Linked DNA regions of Tribolium castaneum. The protein of the gene in region 2 binds, or shares a complex with, the protein of the main gene of each other region. Links are inferred from orthologs where the notes say so. Each region holds a gene or a part of one and is shown on either strand. Other genes may lie near its edges.

Evidence for each region.
Region 1: Polr2H (region 2) and Tfb5 share a complex: the UniProt entries of both Homo sapiens proteins name them as parts of the TBP-based Pol II pre-initiation complex. The link is inferred for Tribolium castaneum from reciprocal best matches to the Homo sapiens genes POLR2H and GTF2H5.

Annotation. Positions count from the first base shown.
Region 1 is NC_087399.1:6,497,830-6,501,244, reverse strand, and holds Tfb5 (general transcription factor IIH subunit 5), read left to right. Parts: upstream 1-1,315; 5' UTR 1,316-1,422; coding exon 1,423-1,457; exon of another isoform or gene 1,458-1,504; coding exon of another isoform or gene 1,505-1,886; intron 1,887-2,347; coding exon of another isoform or gene 2,348-2,574; exon of another isoform or gene 2,575-2,580; intron 2,581-2,601; coding exon 2,602-2,788; 3' UTR 2,789-2,873; downstream 2,874-3,415. Other genes in the region: hydroxyacyl-coenzyme A dehydrogenase, mitochondrial, read right to left, coding at 141-717, 772-885; meiotic nuclear division protein 1 homolog, read right to left, coding at 1,505-1,886, 2,348-2,574; heix (ubiA prenyltransferase domain-containing protein 1 homolog), read left to right, coding at 3,298-3,415. UniProt on the Homo sapiens protein: Component of the general transcription and DNA repair factor IIH (TFIIH) core complex, which is involved in general and transcription-coupled nucleotide excision repair (NER) of damaged DNA and, when complexed to CAK, in RNA transcription by RNA polymerase II.
Region 2 is NC_087396.1:10,332,540-10,336,467, forward strand, and holds the start of Polr2H (DNA-directed RNA polymerases I, II, and III subunit RPABC3), read right to left. Parts: upstream 3,018-3,928; 5' UTR 2,955-3,017; coding exon 2,882-2,954; intron 1-2,881. Other genes in the region: Epp (ecdysteroid-phosphate phosphatase), read left to right, coding at 3,185-3,297, 3,350-3,590, 3,637-3,832. UniProt on the Homo sapiens protein: DNA-dependent RNA polymerase catalyzes the transcription of DNA into RNA using the four ribonucleoside triphosphates as substrates.

The DNA.
Region 1 (3,415 bases), on a different chromosome or scaffold from region 2:
ATAAAAATATTTTCAAAAATTCATTTCGTTTTGTGTAACTCAAGTCGTATCAGATTTATTGAACGCCTGTATTTGCCACAAGCTTGGCAACCTTAAAGCTCTCAGCTTCGCTTCGAGCTTCAATATTACATAATTATTACCTCTCTCCATCATCCTGATGGCTTCTGCTATATAGGGCACCAGAAGCCTGTTAACAATAAACCCGGGGGTGTCCTTGCAGGTGACGCAGGTCTTGCCCACGGCTTTGCCCCACGCCATAAAGGCCTCGTACGTCTCCTGCGACGTCTCCGGAGTCCTAACAACCTCCAAAAGCTTCATAACGGGCACGGGATTGAAAAAATGCAGCCCCCCGAACCTATCCTTCCTCTTCGTAACGGAGGCAATTTCGGTAATCGAGAGCGAGCTCGTATTTGACGCAAACATGGTTTTGGGGGGCGCGACCTCATCCAAATTTTTGAACAATTTGTGCTTAACATCCATGTTTTCAACAATCGCCTCCACGACCAAATCGCTGTCTTTCACAGCTTCGGCAATGTCGGTGCACCCCTTAATCCGGGCCTGCGATTCGCTCACGAATTTATTAGCGGCTTGCGGGTCATCCTTGTGGAGTTTTTTGGCGACTCGTACCAAGTTTTTCGCAATGCTGTCTTCGGCTTTTTTGATCAAGTCGGGGTTGACTTCCACGATGGTCACGTTGTGGCCGGTTTGCGCGGCCACCTAAGCAAGGGGGCGAATGTTAGGTTAGGTTCGGGTGGTTTGGGGTACACTTACTTGGGCGATGCCTGAGCCCATGAGGCCGCCCCCGATCACAGTTACGTTTTTTATAACTGCGTTCATGGGGCTTGAAGTTGAAAGGCTTCGCTTGATGAACAGGTTTAGGGCCATTTTTTCGCGTTCGGTTACGAGTAAAAAGTGGTGTGTAATGCGGATTTTGTTTGGTTTATTAACGATACAATAACTAGGTGAAAGTCCAAGTTTGTAACCTATGATCGACTCCCACCGCTACGTTTGTGTACTTTTTAATCATTTTATCGTTTATGGCGAGATTAGGGCTCAGAAGTGAAAATCATCGTGCCGATGGTTTAAAAATAATCCGCTTTCGATAACGAGTGCGACTTTTGTACCTGAATTTATTTAGGTATTATGTAATAAAAGTGCAACATCATTCAGTCAAGTGGTACACAGGAGGGTTCCAAAATGGGGCTATATAGCAATCCCTGTTATCAATTTATCCACTTTTTTCAAAGAAATACTTGAAAAAAAATATAATTTTGGGGAAATTTGTGATTATGCAATCAGCAATACACGTGTGAGAGGTTAGTTGCATTCTATAAGTTGTCAAATGTCATAAAAACACCAACTTTTGTAAGAAAAATAATTTATTTCTGATTTAAAAAAGTACACAATTCTCGATTATCAACAATGGTTAATGTAATGAAAGGCGTTTTGGTGACCTGGTAAGGCCCTAACAATTTTTTTGAGTTTTTGTTTGACATAACCTCAATCATGCCAGATAATCCAAATCTCCGGGAATCCCAAACTGCTTATTTAAAACCTTATCTTCCATCATAAACTTCCTTTTGCACCATGATTTGACCGCGAAGATATTATCAGTCCATCGATTTGCTGCTTCTTTTACCGGTTTTATCTCACTTTGCATTAATTTCAAATTTTGAGTATCTGTGTGAGATTTCGACAGAGATTCGAATTTTTCTTTCTGTTTTTCCAGTTTTTCAATTTCCTTCAAAATCTGGCTGTCGTCCCAATTCTCTTTCCCCACCTGCGCTTTTTCCATAGTTTCGTCAATTAATTTCAATTTTTTTGTTGACGATTCTAATTTCGTTTGAAGCTCGTTAAGTTTGCGTTTTTTCGCGTTAAGTAATTTGCTGTAATTAGGATAAAACGTGTTTTTGGCCCGTCTATACCGTTTTTCGGACACTCTCCCAGTTATCTCAGTGATCTCCGTTATTATAAGAGATACGAGGTCGGTTAAATTAGGGCAAAGTTGCGCATTTTTATGCTGAACAATTATTTGAAAAAAAAAATTGTAATTTTCGTTTTTATTTTTTCAAGTGAAAACCAAAAGAACTAGACGTAGGACTTTTTCGGGCACTTTTTACAAGGAATCTAAATTTGTCATCGGATTTTCCTAGGCTTGCTTGATGTCAGAGTTACAACACTTAACTTCGTTTTTTTTATGGGAAAAAAATAAAAACGAAAATCATTTTTTTAAATTTCTCTCAATAATTCAAAAACTAAAAATGGCACATAAAATTTTCTTTCAGAAATTGTTTTGCATACAAATGCACAACTTCTCAAAAAAACGGACACCCTGTATAATATTTACCTGGGAAAAGCCCAAAAGTAGACGGAACTCCCGATCTTATCCTTATCAACAGAACCATCATCCACCAAAGCTTGGACCACTTCTTTCACAGAATTCGCCGTAATTCCTTTCTCCTTTGGCGCAATTATTTCCAATTCATTCATTTGATAAAAATCCCCAGTCTCGTGAAACAATTGCAACATCCTAGCCTTTTTCTCCTCAAAACTTAGACCTTTTTTCTTGAACATTTTCCCCTAAAAAATGCGTTGTTTCAGTGACCAGGCCATGAAACAATTCCTTTTGTATTTAGATGAGACTACAAAACTAGGCCGAAAATTCATAATTCAGGACTTGGATGAAAACCACTTATTTATTTCAGCCGATATTTTAGAGACATTACAGGCAAAAATCGACGATCTGATGGACCAAATTAGCTTCCCAGTCGCCGAAAAAAGCAATTAATTTTTTGTAATTTGCAAAAGTGAGGTTATGTCATATTGATGTGTGGTCATTCGAATTATAAATAAAAAGCGCAGCATTTATATAATGACGTGTTTTGCTATAAATAATATCGTTGCGGGCCGGTTTTCGTCCATACTTACGCAATAAGGCACTAATTAACTGTTTTTTCAAATTGTCGGTACAAATAATACAGTTCCCTGTAAATTGGAAGTGGCTACAATTACGCTTCTTTGATAACCGACTATTCTACAGTTGTTACGCCATCACGAACATTTTTACACACAAATGATAAGAATAGAATTAAGCAATAGATAACGGAAACGTGTCACTAATTATAATTTTTCCCTGATTTAATAGCCGCCGTGACGTAACCACAGCCACATGTCAAACGTCACAATTGACTTCTTTGGTTATGTTCCGTTTGTCAAAGTTATAAAACGAAAAAACGCGTTTCTCGGCCACAAATCATCAAGTGTGTTAAGTTCCGTGTCAGTGCATTTACCCCCATCATGACGGTGCCCACCCCCAGCGAGAAACTCCTCACCAATGGCTCCACCACTCCCAAGCGCCAAAACGGCCAAAAATCGGGCCTCATGAAGCTATCAAGTTACGTGCTAGCCTTGCGTC
Region 2 (3,928 bases):
AAGAGGTCAATAAATTAATGAAATTTTTACAGTAGTCTCTATGAGTGATATAAACATATACATTTTTTTGAGTTGTTGTTTTTAAATGGAAATACCTTTAACCCCAAGAGCTAGAACGAACCACTATTTTAATGTTTTTGTTTAATAAAAACCACTCCTTTAAAAATACTGTCTTTAAATTTATAGAAAACACACAAAATGAAAGGTCAGATGTAATTTATAGTTTTTTATATTACTTTACATTTAATAGTAATTTGTAGACTTATAGAGAGAAAACGATTGACTGACTTATCTCATTATTCTGCTGAACAAATGTTCACAAATTTTCGGTGTTATAACAAAATTGTTTAATAACATCTAAATAAACCACTCTATTGCAAAAACAATTATTGCATTTGAAAGAGAGGGACTTTATAGCATACGTTTCTATATTTTTCTCAAAATGACAAAAATTGGACATATTTCGTTATAACATTGAACAGTGAAGACCCCATTTTTCACCTGTTAGAACCATCCAGTAAGCAGGCATGTATGACTAGATTTTTTAAACATAATTTAGGACCACTGGCGTTGTGCCACCAAATTTTCTGTTATTAATAACTAATTTGTGTTCTTTTCGTTACATTTAATCAAGTTACAAGTTGTTTTGTGGCTAATTATTAATCTTTTTCATGGATAACATCACAACATCTTATTAAATTTGAGTAAAATCAAAAATTGTCAACCCCCACTTTTTTTTCGCAGACCGACACTAAAAATAAATTGTGACCAAAAATTTATTCAAAAAGACCTATGCTTTCAATAAACACTAATAATAGTAATAATACAGAATAAAAACAAAAATTTTCACTTTTTGTTACAGTGTTATTACCTGTAATATTTTTAACTAATTTTTACTGGAACAACTGATTTTCTTTTTCTTTTTAACAATTTAATTTCAATATGATAGAAACAAAAATAAATCGCATTTTTATCATTTTGAAATGTGTAGGAGTACTTAATAAAATGTATTAACTTGGAAAATTCGAAGTGTAATATTTCTAAACGTCGGTTTAATTTTTTACTTTGTATTTCTTCTCTTTATTCATTTCAGTTCCTAATAACACTAGTTTACAACGTTTTTTGCCAATAGATGAAACCAATGCGTATCGGTAAGTCTAATACATTCACTTAATGATATTTTAAAGCAAATAAAATGTTTAACAATTAGTTCATCACAGAAACAACGGATGCTAAATTAGACACCAGAAACCAATTTTCAAAACTTTTAGTGAACATTAAAAAAAAACTAGATGTGATAGAAAAATGTAACATACAGGATGTTTCAAAATTGACAAATTCCGAGGTCAGAGCGTTGTAAAGAATCACTTCACTAGACTAAATGTAAAAACAAAATAAAGATTCGGAACTTCCCCACAAGGATACAGTGGTTTGAAGGTGCACGTCAGCTCACTTTGAATTGCGTTTTCTTCAAATGAAGGCTAAAAATTTTTCATTATTTTCATTTTTATTACTTATGATGTAGATGATTGTGGAAGATAATAATGTAAAACAATATTTCAAAAAATCAGCTTCATTTTAGAGTAAAAAATTTAAATTTTTGTAATTTTTCTTAAAAACAAAACGGCAAATTAAAAAAATTAAGATTTTAAAAACTCCAAAATAATATAAAAAAATAAATATAAATATAAAATAATAAAGCTAGTTTTTTGAGAAATCGTTCACAGTTATTATTCTTCACAATCATCGTCACCACAAATAAGAATAAACACTGAAACATATAGGCTGAATTAAAAAAAACGCAGTTCAAAGAGTAATCTTCAAACCAATGTATCTTTGTGAGGCAGCCCCGAATATTTTTTTGTTGGTAACATTTGAAGCCTTCTTTTTAATATCTGAATCCTAGATTTTAAACACTATTTTAAAACGCTTTTCCCATAGCAACGTGTTTTCATTTAAGTTCAAATATTCCAAAAAAAAAAATTTAATAACACTCATGCGAAAACGCTTTTAAAGTTCTCGAACTTTAAGTTTTTGTTTTTGCTCCCGTATTATTAATAACTCTTTTCGATGTTTGGACTACTAAAGCAATTCTCTACAGTGCTCAGAACTCGGAATTCGCCAATTTTGATACACCCTAAATGTTTTTTTAATACTGTGTTGCCAAATAGCCTGTATATTTTTGTTATCAGTGAGTAAGTAGAAAACAAAATTACCTAGTAGAAATGATTTCTTAGTAAAAGAAAAAAAATTGTAAACTAGTGTAATTAATATATCCATTTATTATCCCAGCTAGAATGCTCTAAACCCCTACGTGTTTCTTAATATGTATTTTATTGCTTTTTGTATTACAATTAATTCATGTAATTCATCAGTCTTCACAAATGATTCAAACAGCGAACAGTTTTAACAAAAATGGGGGCCGGCCCATGTCACCCATACACACCACCTACAAACCACACAAGTATTAAACAAAAATTAATACGTTAAAAAATTATTAGTATAAAAGTAAAATTTTGTAAGACTAATTTTGCATAATTCTATTAATATAAGTCCTTCAAGTAATTAATTCTAACCAAAAAAAATCTATTCTATCTGCCTGTTTTTATTGGTTTTATTCTTAATGCATTAAAAAAGACCAATCGATGCCACAACTAGGACACAGGTGGGGGGGTATAACCAATATTTAGAGTAGGACGGTATTATCGTATTAATAACCACATACACACGCTTTCCAAATTCAGAGGTAAATGAGACAAGATGTAAACTTTAAATACATTCAAAATTTAACACAATTTCGAGCAATTTTACGAAACGTTAAAACATAACCTCAAAAACGCCGGTCACACATCCAAACAAACAGACGATAAAAGCCACTTACCTCGATCAAATTTCTTTCCCTCAGGATCAATATCTTTCACGTTGAATATATCTTCAAACAGGACACCTGCCATCGTCGAATAACGTGTAAATAATAAAAAATTAACACACTTTAATACTTTCTTATGAAAATGGGCAAATTTTGACAGACATCAACACTTGACAGTGTTCCAACCAGTGCCGCCATCTGAAAGGCCAATTCCCCAAACAAAACCAAAACAAAAACGTCACTGTTTAAATGTCAAAGGTCCACTAGAAGTGTCAACACCAAACTTTAACCTAGTTGAAATTAATAATTTATTAAATGAAAATGGCAACACTACCCCCTAGGAGGAACCCCACACCTACAAAAATATCCAAACAGCACCTGACCCCGCTACAAATCCTCCTCCAGATGGGGTTCCCCAAACACAGAGCGTGAGTAAACAAAATGATAATAAACTTTCGGGTAACTTGAAATTACACACAGCGAAAAGGCCTTAGCTGCCACTGGTAACAGGGGCGTGCAGTTGGCCTCCGACTGGTTACTGGCCCACGTAAATGACCCATTGCTGGACGATAACTCTCCAAGGGAGTACATTTTATATGCGTGTCCCACGGGACCTTTCCTGGAACAGTTACAGACCTTCTGGGAGAAGTCGCACAGGGAATGCGCCTGGAACGGGGCCCACAATTTCACGCCGCACATTACGCTAGTTTCGTTTTTTAAGGTATTTCATTTGATAAATTTTGAATTCGTTTAATGATGTGTAACAGGCGCCTGATGAAGACGCCCTACATCTGGCGCAAAGCCTAAAGTCCGTAATGGAAAGGCAGGGCGCTATGTTGAACGAGCCCCTAAAACTAGAAACGTATACTTCTCCAAATTTTATGGGGTTTTTTGTGGCGGAGGAGCACGCTGATTATTTAAAAAGGATTGCCATGCAATATGTTAAAGAAGTTTCAAATGCTAGTAAGTCGATTTTTCTATAAACCAGTAGATGGGCATGTTTGTAACTTTGTTGGTTTTTGATTACCAGAAAAATATTTAGATAATGATTGGTCCTTA